3 linked regions of the Xenopus tropicalis genome follow. The protein of the gene in region 1 purifies or fractionates together with the protein of each later gene. This does not show direct contact. Links are inferred from orthologs where the notes say so. Each region holds a gene or a part of one and is shown in the gene's direction. Other genes may lie near its edges. The genes, in order: atad5, rfc5 and wdr48.

The links.
Region 2: the proteins of atad5 (region 1) and rfc5 purify together in Homo sapiens (affinity purification with mass spectrometry; 4 studies listed by BioGRID and IntAct, counting the BioPlex papers as one, with this or other methods). This does not show direct contact. The link is inferred for Xenopus tropicalis from reciprocal best matches to the Homo sapiens genes ATAD5 and RFC5.
Region 3: the proteins of atad5 (region 1) and wdr48 purify together in Homo sapiens (affinity purification with western blotting; 3 studies listed by BioGRID). This does not show direct contact. The link is inferred for Xenopus tropicalis from reciprocal best matches to the Homo sapiens genes ATAD5 and WDR48.

What each region holds. Positions count from the first base shown.
Region 1 is NC_030686.2:51,963,232-51,970,667, reverse strand, and holds the start of atad5 (ATPase family AAA domain-containing protein 5), read left to right. Parts: upstream 1-2,365; 5' UTR 2,366-2,860; coding exon 2,861-2,911; intron 2,912-7,278; coding exon 7,279-7,436. UniProt on the Homo sapiens protein: Has an important role in DNA replication and in maintaining genome integrity during replication stress.
Region 2 is NC_030677.2:165,242,803-165,250,165, forward strand, and holds part of rfc5 (replication factor C subunit 5), read left to right. Parts: intron 1-2,966; coding exon 2,967-3,031; intron 3,032-4,109; coding exon 4,110-4,246; intron 4,247-7,363. UniProt on the Homo sapiens protein: Subunit of the replication factor C (RFC) complex which acts during elongation of primed DNA templates by DNA polymerases delta and epsilon, and is necessary for ATP-dependent loading of proliferating cell nuclear antigen (PCNA) onto primed DNA.
Region 3 is NC_030682.2:13,431,404-13,438,766, reverse strand, and holds part of wdr48 (WD repeat-containing protein 48), read left to right. Parts: intron 1-5,567; coding exon 5,568-5,708; intron 5,709-6,729; coding exon 6,730-6,808; intron 6,809-7,363. UniProt on the Homo sapiens protein: Regulator of deubiquitinating complexes, which acts as a strong activator of USP1, USP12 and USP46. Enhances the USP1-mediated deubiquitination of FANCD2; USP1 being almost inactive by itself.

The sequences.
Region 1 (7,436 bases):
AGCCTAGTGAGGGAGGGGCGGTGTCAGCCTAGTGAGGGAGGGGCCGTGCCAGCCTAGTGAGGGAGGGGCCGTGCCAGCCTAGTGATGGAGGGGCCGTGCCAGCCTAGTGAGGGAGGGGCCGTGCCAGCCTAGTGAGGGAGGGGCGGTGCCAGCCTAGTGAGGGAGGGGCCGTGCCAGCCTAGTGAGGGAGGGGCCGTGCCAGCCTAGTGAGGGAGGGGCCGTGTCAGCCTAGTGAGGGAGGGGCCGTGCCAGCCTAGTGAGGGAGGGGCGGTGCCAGCCCTAGTGAGGGAGGGGCGGTGCCAGCCTAGTGAGGGAGGGGCGGTGCCAGCCTAGTGAGGGAGGGGTCGGTGCCAGCCTACTGAGGGAGGGGCCGTGCCAGCCTAGTGAGGGAGGGGTCGGTGCCAGCCTAGTGAGGGAGGGGCCGTGTCAGCCTAGTGAGGGAGGGGCCGTGCCAGCCTAGTGAGGGAGGGGCCGTGCCAGCCTAGTGAGGGAGGGGTCGGTGCCAGCCTAGTGAGGGAGGGGCCGTGTCAGCCTAGTGAGGGAGGGGCCGTGCCAGCCTAGTGAGGGAGGGGCCGTGCCAGCCTAGTGAGGGAGGGGCCGTGCCAGCCTAGTGAGGGAGGGGGCCGTGCCAGCCTAGTGAGGGAGGGGTCCGGTGCCAGCCTAGTGAGGGAGGGGCCGTGCCAGCCTAGTGAGGGAGGGGCCGTGCCAGCCTAGTGAGGGAGGGGCCGTGCCAGCCTAGTGAGGGAGGGGCCGTGTCAGCCTAGTGAGGGAGGGGCGGTGCCAGCCTAGTGAGGGAGGGGCGGTGCCAGCCTAGTGAGGGAGGGGTCGGTGCCAGCCTACTGAGGGAGGGGCCGTGCCAGCCTAGTGAGGGAGGGGTCGGTGCCAGCCTAGTGAGGGAGGGGCGGTGTCAGCCTAGTGAGGGAGGGGCCGTGCCAGCCTAGTGAGGGAGGGGCCGTGCCAGCCTAGTGAGGGAGGGGCGGTGTCAGCCTAGTGAGGGAGGGGCCGTGCCAGCCTAGTGAGGGAGGGGCGGTGTCAGCCTAGTGAGGGAGGGGCCGTGCCAGCCTAGTGAGGGAGGGGCGGTGTCAGCCTAGTGAGGGAGGGGCGGTGTCAACCTAGTGAGGGAGGGGCGGTGTCAACCTAGTGAGGGAGGGGCCGTGCCAGCCTAGTGAGGGAGGGGCGGTGTCAGCCTAGTGAGGGAGGGGCGGTGTCAGCCTAGTGAGGGAGGGGCCGTGCCAGCCTAGTGAGGGAGGGGCCGTGCCAGCCTAGTGAGGGAGGGGCGGTGCCAGCCTAGTGAGGGAGGGGCGGTGTCAGCCTAGTGAGGGAGGGGCCGGTGCCAGCCTAGTGAGGGAGGGGCCGTGCCAGCCTAGTGAGGGAGGGGCCGGTGCCAGCCTAGTGAGAGAGGGGCGGTGTCAGCCTAGTGAGGGAGGGGCCGTGCCAGCCTAGTGAGGGAGGGGCGGTGTCAGCCTAGTGAGGGAGGGGCCGGTGCAGGCTTAAGGGGGTACGTTCTTTAACAGCATATTCTCTAAAACAACCCAGATTGTTCCCTCAGATCAAGCCATTATCCCTGTCTCCCCGAGTCTTGTCAGTGTCACCCCAAATAATTCCATGGTGTCACTAACACCATCAAGCCTTGCTCTTGGCTCTCTCTTACTTCTTTCTCCTCTTTGTATGTATTGTGAGTGCCATCTTAAACTTTAGCCCCGCCTACTAACAGCCACATGGGGGCAGGCTGTATGTATTGTGAGTGCCATCTTAAACTTTAGCCCCGCCTACTAACAGCCACATGGGGGCAGGCTGTATGTATTGTGAGTGCCATCTTAAACTTTAGCCCCGCCTACTAACAGCCACATGGGGGGCAGGCTGTATGTATTGTGAGTGCCATCTTAAACTTTAGCCCCGCCTACTAACAGCCACATGGGGGCAGGCTGTATGTATTGTGAGTGCCATCTTAAACTTTAGCCCCGCCTACTAACAGCCACATGGGGGCAGGCTGTATGTATTGTGAGTGCCATCTTAAACTTTAGCCCCGCCTACTAACAGCCACATGGGGGCAGGCTGTATGTATTGTGAGTGCCATCTTAAACTTTAGCCCCGCCTACTAACAGCTACATGGGGGCAGGCTGTATGTATTGTGAGTGCCATCTTAAACTTTAGCCCCGCCTACTAACAGCCACATGGGGGCAGGCTGTATGTATTGTGAGTGCCATCTTAAACTTTAGCCCCGCCTACTAACAGCCACATGGGGGCAGGCTGTATGTATTGTGAGTGCCATCTTAAACTTTAGCCCCGCCTACTAACAGCCACATGGGGGCAGGCTGTATGTATTGTGAGTGCCATCTTAAACTTTAGCCCCGCCTACTAACAGCCACATGGGGGCAGGCTGTATGTGATATTGGAAGTGCCTGGCGGAAGGGGCTGGGTGCCAGTCTCTCTGGTACACTGGCTAACCATTGGATACACATCTGATAACAGCTCAGTTGTATGCATGGGGCACAGTTGGGGCACAGGGCTGCTGTACCAATCCCCACACACACACCATACTATGAGGTTCTGTAGCTGCCAGACACCGTTCCAAGCAATTGTTTCCTCTCATTCAATTCTTCCCGGAAGTGGCAGGTTTAGGCGGGAAGTTCCAGTTTGAGGCGTTCCGGGCGCTTACTGATGATGTCAGAATAGTGCCAGCCAATGGGGTTGCTCGCTGAGCGTTGTTCGGGAGCGCGCCTTGTGTGGGATTGGCAGTTGGTTGGTGCGCGCTCCCGTGGGGCAGGTTTGCGCGGGAAATTCTATTCTGCTTGTGGCTCCGGCTCCGGACTGGGGGTGTCGGTATGAGCCGCTGTGTGTGACTGAGCGTACCGGGGAGATGGTCGGGATACTCGCTATGGCCGCGTCCCTGGAGCAGTATGGATGCCAGGTGGGGCCTCTCTCTCACTGCGACTGGAGCTGCGCTTGTCTCTTGCCCGCCTGTCTCTTGCCCGCCAGTCTCTTGCCCGCCAGTCTCTTGCCCGCTTGTCATTGGGGGGCAGCTGGGAACTGTGCCTTCCCTACTGGTATGGGGGGGGGGCAGCTGGGAACTGTGCCTTCCCTACTGGTATGGGGGGGGGCAGCTGGGAACTGTGCCTTCCCTACTGGTATGGGGGGGGGGGCAGCTGGGAACTGTGCCTTCCCTACTGGTATGGGGGGGGGGGGCAGCTGGGAACTGTGCCTTCCCTACTGGTATGGGGGGGGGGCAGCTGGGAACTGTGCCTTCCCTACTGGTATGGGGGGGGGGGGCAGCTGGGAACTGTGCCTTCCTACTGGTATGGGGGGGGGCAGCTGGGAACTGTGCCTTCCCTACTGGTAATGGGGGGGGGCAGCTGGGAACTGTGCCTTCCCTACTGGTATGGGGGGGGGGGCAGCTGGGAACTTGTGCCTTCCCTACTGGTATGGGGGGGCAGCTGGGAACTGTGGCCTTCCCTACTGGTATGGGGGGGGCAGCTGGGAACTGTGCCTTCCCTACTGGTATGGGGGGGGGCAGCTGGGAACTGTGCCTTCCCTACTGGTATGGGGGGGGGCAGCTGGGAACTGTGCCTTCCCTACTGGTATGGGGGGGGGGGCAGCTGGGAACTGTGCCTTCCCTACTGGTATGGGGGGGGGCAGCTGGGAACTGTGCCTTCCCTACTGGTATGGGGGGGGGGCAGCTGGGAACTGTGCCTTCCCTACTGGTATGGGGGGGGGCAGCTGGGAACTGTGCCTTCCCTACTGTATGGGGGGGGGGCAGCTGGGAACTGTGCCTTCCCTACTGGTATGGGGGGGGGGGCAGCTGGGAACTGTGCCTTCCCTACTGGTATGGGGGGGGGGGCAGCTGGGACTGTGCCTTCCCTACTGGTATGGGGGGGCAGCTGGGAACTGTGCCTTCCCTACTGGTATGGGGGGGCAGCTGGGAACTGTGGCCTTCCCCACTGGTATGGGGGGGGGGGCAGCTGGGAACTGTGCCTTCCCTACTGGTATGGGGGGGGGGGCAGCTGGGAACTGTGCCTTCCCTACTGGTATGGGGGGGGCAGCTGGGAACTGTGCCTTCCCTACTGGTATGGGGGGGGGGGCAGCTGGGACTGTGCCTTCCCTAACTGGTATGGGGGGGGGCAGCTGGGAACTGTGCCTTCCCTACTGGTATGGGGGGGGGCAGCTGGGAACTGTGCCTTCCTACTGGTATGGGGGGGGGGGGGGCAGCTGGGAACTGTGCCTTCCCTACTGGTATGGGGGGGGGGGGGGCAGCTGGGAACTGTGCCTTCCCTACTGGTATGGGGGGGGGCAGCTGGGACTGTGCCTTCCCTACTGGTATGGGGGGGGGGGGACGGCCCCCCGGGGGGCAGCTGGGAACTGTGCCTTCCCTACTGGTATGGGGGGGGGGCAGCTGGGAACTGTGCCTTCCCTACTGGTATGGGGGGGGGGGGCAGCTGGGAACTGTGCCTTCCCCTACTGGTATGGGGGGGGGGGGCAGCTGGGAACTGTGCCTTCCCTACTGGTATGGGGGGGGGGGCAGCTGGGAACTGTGCCTTCCCTACTGGTATGGGGGGGGCAGCTGGGAACTGTGCCTTCCCTACTGGTATGGGGGGGGGGCAGCTGGGAACTGTGCCTTCCCTACTGGTATGGGGGGGGGGGCAGCTGGGAACTGTGCCTTCCCTACTGGTATGGGGGGGGCAGCTGGGAACTGTGCCTTCCCTACTGGTATGGGGGGGGCAGCTGGGAACTGTGCCTTCCCTACTGGTATGGGGGGGGGGCAGCTGGGAACTGTGCCTTCCCTACTGGTATGGGGGGGGGGGCAGCTGGGAACTGTGCCTTCCCTACTGGTATGGGGGGGGGGGGGGCAGCTGGGAACTGTGCCTTCCCTACTGGTATGGGGGGGGGGCAGCTGGGAACTGTGCCTTCCCTACTGGTATGGGGGGGGGGCAGCTGGGAACTGTGGCCTTCCCTACTGGTATGGGGGGGGGGCAGCTGGGAACTGTGCCTTCCCTACTGGTATGGGGGGGGGGGCAGCTGGGAACTGTGCCTTCCCTACTGGTATGGGGGGGGGGGCAGCTGGGAACTGTGCCTTCCCTACTGGTATGGGGGGGCAGCTGGGAACTGTGCCTTCCCTACTGGTATGGGGGGGGCAGCTGGGAACTGTGCCTTCCCCACTGGTATGGGGGGGGGGCAGCTGGGAACTGTGCCTTCCCTACTGGTATGGGGGGGGGGGGCAGCTGGGAACTGTGCCTTCCCTACTGGTATGGGGGGGGGCAGCTGGGAACTGTGCCTTCCCTACTGGTATGGGGGGGGGCAGCTGGGAACTGTGCCTTCCCTACTGGTATGGGGGGGGGGCAGCTGGGAACTGTGCCTTCCCTACTGGTAATGGGGGGGGGGCAGCTGGGAACTGTGCCTTCCCTACTGGTATGGGGGGGGGGGGGGCAGCTGGGAACTGTGCCTTCCCTACTGGTATGGGGGGGGGGGGGCAGCTGGGAACTGTGCCTTCCCTACTGGTATGGGGGGGGGGGCAGCTGGGAACTGTGCCTTCCCTACTGGTTATGGGGGGGGGGCAGCTGGGAACTGTGCCTTCCCTACTGGTATGGGGGGGGGGCAGCTGGGAACTGTGCCTTCTCTACTGGTATGGGGGGGGGGCAGCTGGGAACTGTGCCTTCCCTACTGGTATGGGGGGGGGGGCAGCTGGGAACTGTGCCTTCCCTACTGGTATGGGGGGGGGGCAGCTGGGACCCACTGATGGGGGGCCCTTCCCTACTGGTATGGGGGGGGCAGCTGGGAACTGTGCCTTCCCTACTGGTATGGGGGGGGGGCAGCTGGGGAACTGTGCCTTCCCTACTGGTATGGGGGGGGGGGGCAGCTGGGAACTGTGCCTTCCCTACTGGTATGGGGGGGGGGGGCAGCTGGGAACTGTGCCTTCCCTACTGGTATGGGGGGGGGGGCAGCTGGGAACTGTGCCTTCCCTACTGGTATGGGGGGGGGCAGCTGGGAACTGTGCCTTCCCTACTGGTATGGGGGGGGGGTGGCCCAGCTGGGGGCACCAACTGTGGCCTTCTCTACTGGTATGGGGGGGGCAGCTGGCAAACTGTGCCTTCTCTACTGGTATGGGGGGGCAGCTGGGAACTGTGCCTTCTCTACTGGTATGGGGGGGGGGGGGGGGGCAGCTGGGAACTGTGCCTTCCCTACTGGTATGGGGGGGCAGCTGGGAACTGTGCCTTCCCTACTGGTATGGGGGGGGCAGCTGGGAACTGTGCCTTCCCTAATGGTATGGGGGGGGGGGGCAGCTGGGAACTGTGCCTTCCCTACTGGTATGGGGGGGGGGCAGCTGGGAACTGTGGCCTTCCCTACTGGTATGGGGGGGGGGCAGCTGGGAACTGTGCCTTCCCTACTGTATGGGGGGGGGGGCAAACTGGGAACTGTGCCTTCCCTACTGGTATGGGGGGGGGGGGCAACTGGGAACTGTGCCTTCCCTACTGGTATGGGAGGGGGGCAGCTGGGAACTGTGCCTTCCCTACTGGTATGGGGGGGGGGCAGCTGGGAACTGTGCCTTCCCTACTGGTATGGGGGGGGGGGGGGCAGCTGGGAACTGTGCCTTCCCTACTGGTATGGGGGGGGGGGCAGCTGGGAACTGTGCCTTCCCTACTGGTATGGGGGGGGGGGCAGCTGGGAACTGTGCCTTCCCTACTGGTATGGGGGGCAGCTGGGAACTGTGCCTTTCCTACTGGTATGGGGGCCCAGCTTGGAACTGTGCCTTTCCTACTGGTATGGGGGGGGTGCTTTGTATGGGGGGGGGCAGCTGGGTACTGTGCCTTTCCTACTGGTATGGGGGGGTGCTTTGTATGGGGGGGGGCAGCTGGGTACTGTGCCTTTCCTACTGGTATGGGGGGGGTGCTTTGTATGGGGGGGGGGCAGCTGGGTACTGTGCCTTTCCTACTGGTATGGGGGGCCCAGCTGGGGGCAGCAGTAGTTATATGGGAGTTGCTTTTAGAGATTGTTAGCACTTAGTTGGAATGCTGGCTTCCCTCTAATGCAATAAGGGGCAGAGAATATTTACTGTATGGGCTTTGCCATTAGAGAACACTGACTGCTCATCTGTCCTTACTGTGTGTGTTGCTGTATGGGAGCGGCTGTGCAAGTGAATGTTTGAGGCTACTCCATTAGTAGCCCTTGCACAGTGGCTTTGCTCCAGGGTGCAGCAATGTACAGCTATAATACATGGTGTTTCTCTCCAGCTTTTATGGGTAATGTGTTTCCCAGGGTGCATCTAACCTTTATTTACTCCCCCAGCCGTGCAAGAAGCCGAGGAAGGAGGAGGAGGTGGCGGCTCCCATCAAAACCATCACAAACTATTTCTCCCCAGTGTCCAAGAGCCAAGAGAAGGTGCTTTCATCTCCCAGGTCCAACAACATAGCAGACTACTTTAAACGAAATTCTCCCACCAGTGA
Region 2 (7,363 bases), on another chromosome or scaffold:
GTAATGCCAGAAAAAGTGAGACAAGCAGTACATGCATTTGCACATTAATAAAACCAGAGTCTTTATTAAAGATTTTAATGTTAAAGAAGGAAAGGTGAAATCACTGGGGGGGGGTGTCAAATGTTAGGCATCCCCAGTGCTTATAATCGGTTACCTGAAAACTGTACCACACAGGGTACTTCTGGTCGAGCACCACAAAGTCAGTGTCTTTTTTTCTTCTTTAATGGCCTTCAGGCCACCCCACATATGCACTAGAGTGAAAAAGCTGGCTCCCTGCTTAATTTTCAACTTTTCACTGTATTGCGTCTGCGGTCCTACCAAGAAGAAGCAGAAAGATAGCTGGTTCAGAAGTACCCCAAGCCAGTGTAGTTTTCAGCAAACAAAAGCACCAGCCCAGGTATCGGGTAAATTAATATAATCAATGGGGATGCCTAACATTTGGCACTACTGTTGATGTAACCTTTCTTTTAAGGATATACTGTGGTATGATGATATGCTTTAAAACATGTTAGATCCCCCCAAATACACTATTTTAGAGATTAAAAAGTCATAATAATAATTTTGAATAAACTCAAAAGAGCACAGGGCAAAGAGGTGATGGACAGCTTAATCCAGTATTTGAGCCATGCTTATATGTGTGCGAGTGTAACACACACTTGAGTGATCCACACACACTCTTACACTAAAAAACATTAAAAATGGTTACATGCCAGGCCACTACCAGTCCCAATGTTTCTCTTGGACAAACTCACACAACCATACATACATTAATAAGGAAAAAGGGAAACCACTGCTGAAGTTATAACCAGTTGGTTTATTTGAAGTTTTAGTGGATCATTGTGCAAACATCTTAGGGCATTTGTCCTCACATTGTGAAAGAGGAAAGCCTGCTGTGGAGTCTGAGACAGTTCACAAACACTAATGGTTTTAAACAAGTAACCCTCTGTTATTTTGTGTGTGTGGGGTGGAGCGCATTAGCTTGCCTTCTGGAGACTGTCTTGTTCTTCTGTTGGATTACTGCCAGCCACGTAAAATCTGGTTAAATTATTATTCACATTTGAGTGGGTCATTAGTGGCCATGAAACTAAGCAGGTCTTCTACCTTCTCATGTATTTGTCACTTCCTCTAAAGTCCAGATTATCATATTAGTCTAGTGCTAGGCAATAATATAGGCAATAATATAAAGATGACTATTCCATTGTCCATGCCTATATTAAAAAAAAAAGTAAAGCCGTATGAGATTACAAGTGACGACTCCTCCACCCTGTTAAACAGGACCCTCATAGAATGCTTATAATATATATATATATATATATATATATATATATATATATATATATATATATATATATATATAATTACAAACAGTTCATAAGCTGCACACCAAAAGTCAGAGACGCTACCTGGGTGCCAGGACAGTATAGCAATGTGTAGAGAAGTGGAGAAGAACGGCACTCACAGGCAATTTCACAGCAAGGACATCAAAAAGCTTGTAGAAACGTGAGGTTCTTTATTAGTCCGACGTTTCAGTTCCTGAAGGAACTGAAACAACGGACTAATAAAGAACCTCATGTTTCTACAAGCTTTTTGATGTCCTTGCTGTGAAATTGACTGTGAGTGCCGTTCTTCTACACTGTCATTCATATTGTGTGTTTACCTTTCACATTAGTCCCTGCCCCACTAGAGCTTGCAGTATAAATCCAGTCATATTCACACAATGGTCAATTTCATTAGAAGGGTAGGAAACCACACAGATGAGGGGATATCATCCAGACTCATTGCAGATAGTGTCCAGGTTAGAATCAAACTCAGGACCCCAGTGCTGCAAGGCAGGAGTGCTAACTACTTAGCTGATTGCATACAAGCATCCTTCCACATTGCATACTAATGTTAATTTATATAAGCATCTAAATTGAATACAAAACAGCCATGGTGTAGGAGGATTTGGGAAGAGATGCAAAATATTCCACCCAGTTTAGTGTAACACTGTGAGCTGGAAGATGACACTTCAGTCAAAAGTTTCGGGTTCTGTATTTGGCAAATGCTGCTCTCTTGTAATGCAGCTAAAATATGTTATTCTGGCATAGACTGTGTGGGGAGTGTGCCGGGACTTGAACTGGGGGTTGTGTGTTGATGACATCTTTTCTTTCAAAGGTCTTATAAATGAACAGCTCAGCATTTTCTTTATGAAAAAATAACCAAAATGTATAAAGAAAATAATGCCGTTTTGTAGCAAAAGCCCCTGAGTAAACATAATAGGGAAACCTGCTGTCTTTAAAGGAACAGTAACACCAAAAAATAAAATAGCTTTAAAGTAATAAAAATATAATGCACTGTTGCCCTGCACTGGTAAAACTGGTGTGTTTGCTACAGTAACACTACTATAATTTATATAATAAGCTGCTGTGTAGCCACGGGGGCAGCCATTCAAGCTGGAAAAATGGACAAAAGGCACAGGTTACATAGCAGATAACAGATAAGTTCTGTAGAATACAATAGTGTTTTATCTGTTATCTGCTATGTGCCTGTGCCTTTTCTCCTTTGAATGGCTGCCCCCATGGCTACACAGCAGCTTATTTATATAAATTATAGTAGACTTTCTGAAGTAAACACACAACTTTTACCAGTGCAGGGCAGCAGCACATTATATTTTAGTTAGTTTTATGCACTTTCATTTTTTGGTGTTACTGTTCCTTTAAGTGTTTCTTATCTAGTCTGCTCCCTGAACTTGAAGTATTTTTAGTACATTTGTCAGTTAATATAAATTGAGGTTTGTGTCCAGTTACTAAGTTATATAAAGTCCTTTTGCAAAACTCATGTTTTTTTTGTAATTGTAGACCTTAGTACAGAACTAACCGCCCCCCCCCCCCCAACAATTTTACAAAGGAAATTAGGTGAGCAGAAGGAAGAAAGGGTATGTAATCTGCACCGTTTATACACCATTTCCTTATCTCTAACTTTAACAGGGTTGAGAAATACCGACCACAGACTCTTGATGACCTGATTTCTCATCAAGACATATTAAGCACAAGTAAGTTGGGGGTTGGGTTGACTGAAACCACAGTACTAATTCCAAGATTGCTGTCAATTTCATATTTTAAAACAATATTTTAATCAGACTTTAATAGGAACATGTCTGTATGACATTATAAACATACCTTTCACTGATTCCATCAAGGTCTTGACATGGCTTCCTTCAGCCTAAAGCCGCTATATATATGTATAATATATAATTTATAGGGTTTGATTACACTAATCCTATCGCTTTTTTTAATCTTTTCTCTTTGGAGTGTTGGGGTGTCACTCATCGCCACTTTTTATATGGAATTCTGCATATACATACAAAATACGTTTTTGTATAAAATCAGTGTAACATTACTAATTTACTTGCTGTAGTTATCATCCCTGTCTTTTAGAGTATGTAGCCATGAGCAGATTCTTCTGCACTTCAGGTCTGTACTCGCTGGCATGACAAGGGATGGGAAGCTAAAGTCAGAAAGATACATGCTTTCAGCATTGGTTTCAGTCCCTGTAGAGTGGTGCCCAACCAGTGGCTCATGAGCAAGATGTTGCTCTCAGTGCCCCCAAACCAGGTAGTTATTTTTGAATTCCTGACTTGGGGGAAAGTTTTGGTTGAATAAAAACAAGATTTACTACCAAATAAAGCCTCCTGTAAGCTGATGTGCATAGAGGCTGCCTAATAGCCAATCTTAGCCCTTATTTGGCACCTCCATCAACTTTTATGATGCTTGTGTTGCTCTCCAAGCTTTGCAAGGACTGGGTATTGGTTAACTAGGTAGAAGCAACTACTGTAATAAGTATTGGGCACAATAAATAAAATAAATAAAATTGTCTGAATTGTTTTAGAATTGAATCAGTCTGATAAGTAGTCTTAGGTACTTATTTACTAATATAGGTGATAAACCTACATCAATATTTATAGTTTGCTTTCATTTTCTAACTTGCATTTGACCAATTACTTATTGACTGGCACTGGTAACTTTAGTTTTTAAAGGTTTAACTATAAAGATATAACTGTTTATGAAATATTTATATTTTTATTGAGTAAATGCTGATTTTATAAATGCATAAATGCTTTCCTCTTCAAGTTCAGAGGTTCATCAGTGAAGACAAACTCCCTCACCTTCTATTCTATGGACCCCCTGGGACTGGGAAGACATCTACAATTCTTGCCTGTGCAAAGCAGCTTTACAAAGATCGAGAATTCAATTCTATGGTTTTAGAGGTATTTTATTCAATGGGTTTACTCTGTTCAGTTTATCCTCTGTAATAGCAAACATTACCAAAAAGTGCTCTTGAAATAATTTGAGGATCGCTGTTATATTGTGATCTAAACACCAAGCATCAATAATCAGGATCTTCCATCTTCACATTGATGAAAATGGCAGCAGAAAAGGCACAGCAATGGTGAAGTACAGGTAATGGGACCTGTTATCCAGAATGCACAGGACCTTTCCATGTTTCCATTATTTTGGATATCCATACCTTAAGTCTACTAAAAACCATTTAGTAGGTACCAAACGCTCATGGTAGCCTAAAGAGCTGATTTTTAAATCAAAATTTTGGCTCCTCTAGTGCTAAGAGTGCTGTCGCACTCTTGGCACTAGTGATGTGGCAAACCCTCATCCCCCTCCAAAGCAAAAAAACCCAAGAGGGGGAGGGCGTTATCCCCATAGGCCGCCTCAGGGTGCCCCTGCCTGTAGTGTTATGATTGTCAGATAGGAAATGATGTAACAAGAAAAATATAGGCTTTAAACCAGTCAAAAAGACAAAAAGTCAAAACAACAATCCTGAACAAGCAACACAAACAGAAAACAATATTTTTACTTTTGATGCTATCGCTAAAGAAGAACAAGGACATTATAATAAAGCCAGCTGACAAGGGTGAAGTCATAGTCATTATAAACACCATTGATTACATACATAACGAACACAGACAGCTATCCAATACACTGCAGGTAGGATCCCACAGAGAACTACACAAAACAACTCAAAATATTAACCAAAAAATTGCCAGCTAATATCCAGGAAAGCTTGGAGGCACTTATACCCAGAGATCTTAAAACAGCCTGCTTTTATATGATTCCAAAGATTTAAAAAGAGAGAAACTCTGGCAGACCAATAATTTCTGGAAATGTATCTGGCTGGGTAGAAAACATCCTGAAACCTCTTGTAAAATAACACCAGGATACAATGGATTGCCTTAACAAATTGGCTACAGTTGGACGGAACAATTCTTGCCTTCATGGCTGTGGAATCCCTATATATGAATATCCCACCCAAAGATGGTATTGCAGTATGTGATTATTACACGCAAAAACACAAACTTGATGTGGAAACAGTGAATAAAATAATGCAGTTTATCCTGACCCATAACTATTTCTCTTTTAACAATAATATTTACACCCAGCAGATGGGGATAGCAATGGGATCACAGTTTGCTCCTCAATATGCAAATCTTTTTAAGGCTAGACTGGAAGAGGACTACATTTTGGTATATCCTCTTGATATAGATAATATCCTTATCACCATATAATGGTAATGGTAATATTACACTTGGAATTCAGTACATTCCACTCAACAAATTAATGGTAGGGTATGATATAGACCCCCTAATGTAAATGAAGGGAAGGAGGCTTGGCTCCTGTTGCAAATAGAAAAGGCTGCTAGTTTGGGGCAAGTGATAATAATGGTGGTTTCTAATTACCCTGATATTGACTGGATTATTAGTACTGCCAGGACAGTAAATGGGAACAAGTTTTTATAAACTTGTTGCATGACAACTTTATGTCACAGGTTGTTGGGGAGCCAACCAGAAACCAAGCTATATTGGATCTAGTTATCTATAATGAACCAGAACGTATAGCAAATGTGCAAGGCACAGAGGCGGGGCAGGCAATATATGATTGACAGCTGGGATTTTTAAATGCCTTTATAATGGGTATGGGTGTGTCATTAAAAAAATGGAATTTGGGTTTCATGTTTAACTTGAAAAGGACTTTTATTATTCAGCTTTTTATGTCTTGGTGACAGGTCCCCTTTAAGGTTGAACTTGATGGATGAACGTATGTCTTTTTTTCAACCTAACTTACTATGTTACTATGTAACAATAAAACTAAAACTCTGCTATTTTTAGTGTTAAATCAACTTCCTTTCCACTACAATTCACATTAGGAACCACTACATCTTAACTTCCATATACAGCAAACCAACTGACCAACCCTCCTACCTTAGAAGGGATGGCTTCCACACCAAAAACACTAAAAACTCTATAGTTTATTGCCAGGCCATAAGATACAAACATATCTGCTCTGAAGACATGGAAAGGAACCAGAACTTGACCAATCTATGGCAAATCTTTATCAATCAGGGGTACAGACCTAAGACTATTGAATAATTAATAAAAGCATGCACAATCCCAAGGGGGGAACCTTGTAAAATACAAGGAGGGACAAAAAGATAATGGCCTACCCCTAGTGGTACCTACAACCCTCACCGTATATTTATGTATATATATGTATATAATATACAGTGGAGGAAATAATTATTTGACCCCTCACTGATTTTGTAAGTTTGTCCAATGACAAAGAAATGAAAAGTCTCAGAACAGTATCATTTCAATGGTAGGTTTATTTTAACAGTGGAAGATAGCACATCAAAAGGAAAATCGAAAAAATAACTTTAAATAAAAGATAGCAACTGATTTGCATTTCATTGAGTGAAATAAGTTTTTGAACCCTCTAACAAAAAAAGACTTAATACTTAGTGGAAAAACCCTTGTTTGCAAGCACAGAGGTCAAACGTTTCTTGTAATTGATGAACAAGTTTGCGCACATTTTAGGAGGAATGTTGGTCCACTCCTCTTTGCAGATCATCTCTAAATCCCTAAGGTTTCGAGGCTGTCTCTGTGCAACTCTGAGCTTGAGCTCCCTCCATAGGTTTTCTATTGGATTAAGGTCCGGAGACTGACTAGGCCACTCCATGACCTTAATGTGCTTCTTCTTGAGCCACTCCTTTGTTGCCTTTGCTGTATGTTTTGGGTCATTGTCGTGCTGGAACACCCATCCACGACCCATTTTCAGTTTCCTGGCAGAGGGAAGGAGGTTGTCGTTCAGGATTTCACGATACATGGCTCCGTCCATTTTCCCGTTAATGCGAATAAGTTGTCCTGTGCCCTTAGCAGAAAAACACCCCCAAAGCAAAATGTTTCCACCCCCATGCTTGACGGTGGGGACGGTGTTTGGGGGGCATAGGCAGCATTTTTCTTCCTCCAAACACAGCGAGTTGAGTTAATGCCAAAGAGCTCTATTTTGGTCTCATCAGACCACAGCACCTTCTCCCA
Region 3 (7,363 bases), on another chromosome or scaffold:
ATCCTATACATATCTATCCTATACATATCTATCCTATACATATCTATCCTATACATATCTATCCTATACATATCTATCCTATACATATCTATCCTATACATATAGCCATATATAGCTCAGCCATATAGCCATATATAGCTCAGCCATATAGCCATATATAGCTCAGCCATATAGCCATATATAGCTCAGCCATATAGCCATATATAGCTCAGCCATATAGCCATATATAGCTCAGCCATATAGCCATATATAGCTCAGCCATATAGCCATATATAGCTCAGCCATATAGCCATATATAGCTCAGCCATATAGCCATATATAGCTCAGCCATATAGCCATATATAGCTCAGCCATATAGCCATATATAGCTCAGCCATATAGCCATATATAGCTCAGCCATATAGCCATATATAGCTCAGCCATATAGCCATATATAGCTCAGCCATATAGCCATATATAGCTCAGCCATATAGCCATATATAGCTCAGCCATATAGCCATATATAGCTCAGCCATATAGCCATATATAGCTCAGCCATATAGCCATATATATAGCTCAGCCATATATAGCTCAGCCATATAGCCATATATAGCTCAGCCATATAGCCATATATAGCTCAGCCATATAGCCATATATAGCTCAGCCATATAGCCAAATATAGCTCATCCATATAAATCCTATACATATATATCACATCCATTTATAGCCTGTACATATATATCACATCCATTTATAGCCTGTACATATATATCACATCCATTTATAGCCTGTACATATATATCACATCCATTTATAGCCTGTACATATATATCACATCCATATATATCATCACATCCATGTAACATAGTAAGTTGGGTTGAAAAAAGACATATGTCCATCAAGTTCAACCATAATGCCTATATATAACCTGCCTAACTACTAGTTGATCCAGAGGAAGGCAAAAAAAACCCATCTGAAGCCTCTCTAATTTGCCGCAGAGGGGAAAAAATTCCTTCCTGACTCCAAGATGGCAATCGGACCAGTCCCTGGATCAACTAGTACTAAGAGCTATCTCCCATAACCCTGTATTCCCTCACTTGTACTGAGAGCTATCTCCCATACCCCTGTATTCCCTCACTTGTACTGAGAGCTATCTCCCCTACCCCTGTATTCCCTCACTTGTACTGAGAGCTATCTCCCCTACCCCTGTATTCCCTCACTTGTACTGAGAGCTATCCCCCCTACCCCTGTATTCCCTCACTTGTACTGAGAGCTATCTCCCCTACCCCTGTATTCCCTCACTTGTACTGAGAGCTATCTCCCCTACCCCTGTATTCCCTCACTTGTACTGAGAGCTATCCCCCCTACCCCTGTATTCCCTCACTTGTACTAAGAGCTATCTCCCATAACCATGTATTCCCTCACTTGCTAAGAATCCATCCAGCCCCTTCTTAAAGTTATATAATGTATCAGCCAGTACGACTGATTCGGGGAGGGAATTCCAGAACTTCACAGCTCTCACAGTAAAAAATCCTTTCCGAATATTTAAATGGAACCTCCCTTCTTCTAAACGGAGTGGGTGCCCTCGTGTCCGTTGGAAGGACCTACTGGTAAATAAAACATTAGAGAGGTTATTATATGATCCCTTTATATATTTATACATAGTTATCATGTCACCCCTTAAGTGATGTATATCATCACATCCATGTGTATCATCACATCCATATGTCATAACCATAAATATCTAATACATATATCATCCATATATATCCTATACATATATATATATATATATATATATATATATATATATATATTTATTATTTTTTTTTTTTCTATCTAGGGATGCACGGAATCAAGGATTCGGTTCTGTATTCAGCCAGGATTCAGCCTTTTTGGGCAGGGTTAGTTTTCGGGCGAATCCATGGTCCTGGCCGAACCGAATCCTAAGTAGCATATGCTAATTAGCATTAGGAAGGGTTAAGTGTTAGGGGGAAAAAAAATTCATTGTGCGCCCTTATGCTTATAGCTAATTAGGATATGCTAATTAGGATTCGGTTCGGTATTCGGCTGAATCCATCAGGGATCTACTCGATCCCAACTGATACATAATTAATCCTTATTGGAGGCAAATCAATCACATTGGGTTAATTAATATCACATTTTTTTAGTAGACTTAAGTTATGGAGATCCAAGTTATGGAAAGACTCCTTATAAGGAAAACCCCAGATCCGGAGCATTCTAGATAACTGGTCCTTTACCTGTACAGGTATGGGATCTGTTTTTGGAAACCCATTATACAGAAAGCTCCGAATTCCTGGAAGGCCATCTCCCATAGAGTCCATTTAAGCAAATAATTCAAATTTTTTAAAATAATTTCCTTCTTCTCTGTAATAATAAAACAGTACTTGTACTTGATCCCAACTAAGATATAATTACCCCTTATTGGGGGCAGAACAGTCCTATTGGGTTTATTTAATGGTTAAATGATTCCCTTTTCTCTGTAATAATAAAACAGTACCTGTACTTGATCCCAACTAAGATATAATTACCCCTTATTGGGGGCAGAACAGCCCTATTGGGTTTATTTAATGGTTAAATGATTCCCTTTTCTCTGTAATAATAAAACAGTACCTGTACTTGATCCCAACTAAGATATAATTACCCCTTATTGGGGCAGAACAGCCCTATTGGGTTTATTTAATGGTTAAATGATTCCCTTTTCTCTGTAATAATAAAACCGTACCTACACTTGATCCCAACTAAGCTGCATCAGCCTATATGTGTGGCAAAACAATCCTCTTATCTTTATTTCATGTATAGTTATCCAAACAAAGATTCTTTATACAGAAAAGCGTAGGTCCCAAGCATTCCTGATAAGAGTCTATACCTAAATATATATATAATTTTTTTTTATTCTAATCAGCCTGTACTGGCTGCTTAGATGGCCAAAACAGGGAAAGACTATTTCATTTTTTAAGAGAGATTGTGGAGAGTATTGGTTATGGTGGCCATACACTAGCGGTGTTAATCCATAATCGTTTGACCCAAGGGCCAAATGATCAGATTACTCTGATATCGCCCACCTTAACGTGGCCATACACATTAAGAAGGTGGGTGAAATTGTGATCATTTGATTCTTTGCCCCTAGGGCCAAACAATCAAATTACAACAATGGGTATAGTAGTCATCAGAGTAAGTTAGGCCTATCGGGGTCCCCATAGGCAGGTAAGCTTTCAATTCTGTCACATTTAGGTAGAAAGCAAATCTTTCCATATATAGCCAGCTTTACTCTAATATAGAACACTCTATCTGGGCAGCAGGACCTGTGTTATATCATTTACAATTAAAGATAAAAGCCTTTATTTTCACATTAAGTGCAACAGCAAGCCTTTGTGCCTTGTCTGGCTCTTTATTTTGAACTGTTAGATAGTTAATAGGGTATATTTACCCCTTCTGTGCTGTAAGGGCTCAAGTATGAATGACTTATGAGTAAAGAATGTATAGCAGGCTAAAAATAGGCTTGTGTCTGATATCCATACTGTATAGAGTGCAGGTTGTGCTACACACTGACACGCTGGAAACAATGGCTTATTTATAGCTTCTGTAGGTGCTTCCTCTGCAACTTGTTCATGTGTTTAGCGCTAACAGGGAACATAGAACATTGACTCGATATAGTGCGCAACATTACACTCTGTTATTGCATGTATGAGCAATGTAGCAGAACCAAAGTTCTGTTTATTTATGAATGATTATTTGAGAATATTTTCTTTTTACTAAGTAGCTTATATCTCTGAGGGCTTCCCTCACATTAAAGCTTCTCTATTACTTCCCCATATGAGACCTAACATTAATGCGCTTTCTCTTATACTTGCTGTTAGAGTGATGGAAAGTAATCTATATAGAACAGAACATTTTGTGAAATTACTGTCAGCAAAAGATAAACATGTATATGGTACAAGTACACTATGGGGCAGATTTATTCAAATGTGAAATTAGAGCACACCACAGGAAAATTCATCCGCTTTCTATTCATTCCTATGGGATTTTTAGTAGCGCACTTATCAATTGGGGAACGCTTACTTTCACCCAGTGATAATCACGTGTCTAATAATCCCATAGGAATGAATAGAAAGTTGGTGAATTTTTCTGTGGCAAGCTTTAATCTCACATTTTAATTTTACTCCACACAGAGTAGATTTTTGCATGAAAACGCATACTCGTGTTTTGGCGCTGAAATCCGCTCCGTGTCCCAGGTCACCGCAGTGTCTTTGGGTGCTGACACACCATAAAACAGACAGGACCGTGTGACAGTAACCTTATAGACTGTCTACATGTCACACAAGCCCAATATCACCACATGCAAAAGTTTTTATCATTGGGATAAATCGCACTTTCCTATCTAGAAGTTTGGTAGCCGAGTCAGGGTTTGGCATATGCCAGAAAGGAGCTACGTGCCTAAATATGCAATGCTGACCAAAGTTTGCGGTACAGGCAATAATGGACTGGAACTGTCTGGACCCCTGGTTTACGTAAAGGAACAGTTCAGCGTGAAAATGAAACTGGGTAGAATAGACAGACTGCGCAACATTAAAAATGTTTTCAATATAGTTCAGCAAAAATGTAATTTATAAAGGCTGGAGTGGGTGGATGTCTAACATAATGGCCAAAACACCGCTTCCTCCTTTACAGCTTTCTAAGCTGTTAGCAGTCAGTAACCAATCAGTGACTTTAGGGGGGCTGTGTGGGACATAACTGTCAGTTAGTTTGCTTTTGAATCTGACCTGCGTGGTCACAAACTAACGGAACAGTTATGTCCCATGTGGCCCCCCATAAAGTCACTGACTGACTAAAAGGTTAGAGAGCTGAAAGCAGGAAGTAGTGTTCTGGCTATTATGTTAGACATCTGCTCACTCCAGCCTTTATAGATGAAATTTTTGCCTAATTAACTAGATTACAAATATTTTCTATTTTGCTCAGTCTATTTTACCCAGTTTCATTTTTATACTGAATTGTTCCTTTAAGGTTGCAACATACAATGATATACTTGACAATTCCATGCTTGCTACTTTGCAGCGACAGGACGGGGAAAGCCCTTTCCTCCACAATAATGCCCTGCAACCCAGGTACAGACCATGATTCAAAATAGGCCCAAAAACATTTTTTTGGGGTTGACATGTCCTTTAATGCAATTATCTAAAACTAAAGTTCAGATTGAACCTGTAGGATTAAAGTCTTAAAAATAACAAATCTGATGATGTTTTGGCCATTAATAATTGCCAGACAACAATCGTACGAAAGTTATGTTCCAGAAATACAGTGTAGGTCCCCCATAGATATTGTCAGATCGGCAATACATGCACAGAGATTATCGCCTTTTGACTGAAATTTTCTAACCTGTGTAATTGACTGATTGCCCTGCTATGAAAATTGTATGGACAATAATTTGAAACCCACACGCAGTCTGAAAATTGTACAAAGCTTTGTTTCCTATGATTATATTGGTGCGTGTATGGCCAGCCGCCAGCGTAATGATTAGAGTAACTTGCGGTGTATATTCACTGTTGAACTGTCTGTATCTGCCTCAGGTATCCTATGTGATAAGAGATGAAGTGGAGAAGTACAATCGCAATGGGGTGAACGCATTGCAGCTCGATCCTGCGCTGAACAGGCTCTTCACAGCGGGCCGGGATTCCATCATCCGGATATGGAATGTCAACCAGCACAAGGTTAATCCTCACTCAGATAAAGTGATTAGGAGCAAGGGAGGCTGGGAGCGCAGGGAGCACACTCAGTTATTTGCATGTGCTTCTTAATGGATTTCCTCTTCTAGGAAATGCCATGTTCCCTGTTAGTCATTAGAGCAACGATGACTGATGCGGCCGTGCCTCCTAACTGTTTGCAAATCTCATAACTTTGATGTTGGTAATGGAAACCGGCTCCCCGATCTTAGGATCAATAACGTGGATCAGTCGCTTGGCTCCTCAGACTACATTTTCTGGAGTCTTTGAATTGCTACAGAACACTCTGCCTTATTGGCATCATCCTGCCTGTATGGCTGCTTGTTGCATGTCTGGTTCTGTTGATGTGTGTACATTGCTATTGGAGGGGCAGGTCCCTATAGACAAACCAGTAAGGGGCTGATAAAAACTGCTGATATTGGCCCTGTGGACCAAATAAGCAGCTTTTATCAATCCACATTGACCCCCTTTTAGTTTCCCCATTTTAGTACCTCATTCTTTTAAATGTCTATGTGTATTTTACTCATTAATCTATCATTAATTGCCTCATGGTGTGAAACATGTTATTAAAATAATAGATAAATACAAAGTATGATCATAAATAAAAATAAATACAAGTTGATATAAGTTAAGAATCAAAGAGACAGGAGGATGGAGGTCCCTGCCCTGTAGAGATTGCAAGCTAAATAACATGCCATACTAATTACCCCTCAATGGAATGATGTACCAATCAGACGGATATTCCTCTTTACTATGTTCCTTAGTTCATTAGTAGTCCTGTAATAGAACAGACAAATAAGCATACTGCCATGAATCCCATGTTGTATTACGGACAAAGGGCCTTTCCCTGACTGTGTCTGTGCCCACTAAAGTATAAATTGAAATTATATTAACAAGCCTTGCTGGTGTTTAAACAAATTCACTAGGTGCTACCATACATGCCTCTCTGTTAATATAGATTTTCTGTTTCATCCTCCTAAAAGCTGTTATGTCTCAATTTATATTTTAGCAAGATCCATATATAGCTTCTATGGAACACCACACTGACTGGGTCAATGACATTGTCCTCTGCTGCAATGGCAAAACATGTAAGTATTTTGGCTTTTATCAAATTTAAGTACTCGTTGAATTATATGGGACACTTTTGGGATTGACCTGCTATTGTTACCCCCATTTTTATTAAAAGGCACTAAGTTTGCCACAGGAGCAGTAACCCATAGCAACCAATAAGATGTTTGCTTTTAAACAGCTGACCAGTAAATTGTACCCGCTGGTTTGTTACTAATGGGTTACTGCTTCTTTGTTTTATTACATAACCCCCTAAGAGAGGGATATTTAGCCCTCCTGCCTTTAACAGCTGGAAGATTGCAGGCTGCATATAACTGTCAATGTGAGTATTCAACCCTTTGAGGCACAGTTGTAATGGTTTGGGTAAAGTTCCCCTGCTCAGGAAACTAGAAAAAGCTATTAGGCCCTTAACTAACTTCTGGCATTTATCAAAGTATTCTTCTGTGGAGGTAAACTAGAGCTCCATGTCTGGACCAAGATTTAAAATAGGCCCTGGCATTTCAAGTACACAGAGGCCCAAACAGCCCCCCACCAGCCCAATAGACAGTGACTGTCTGTGGCATCTTACAGCAGCC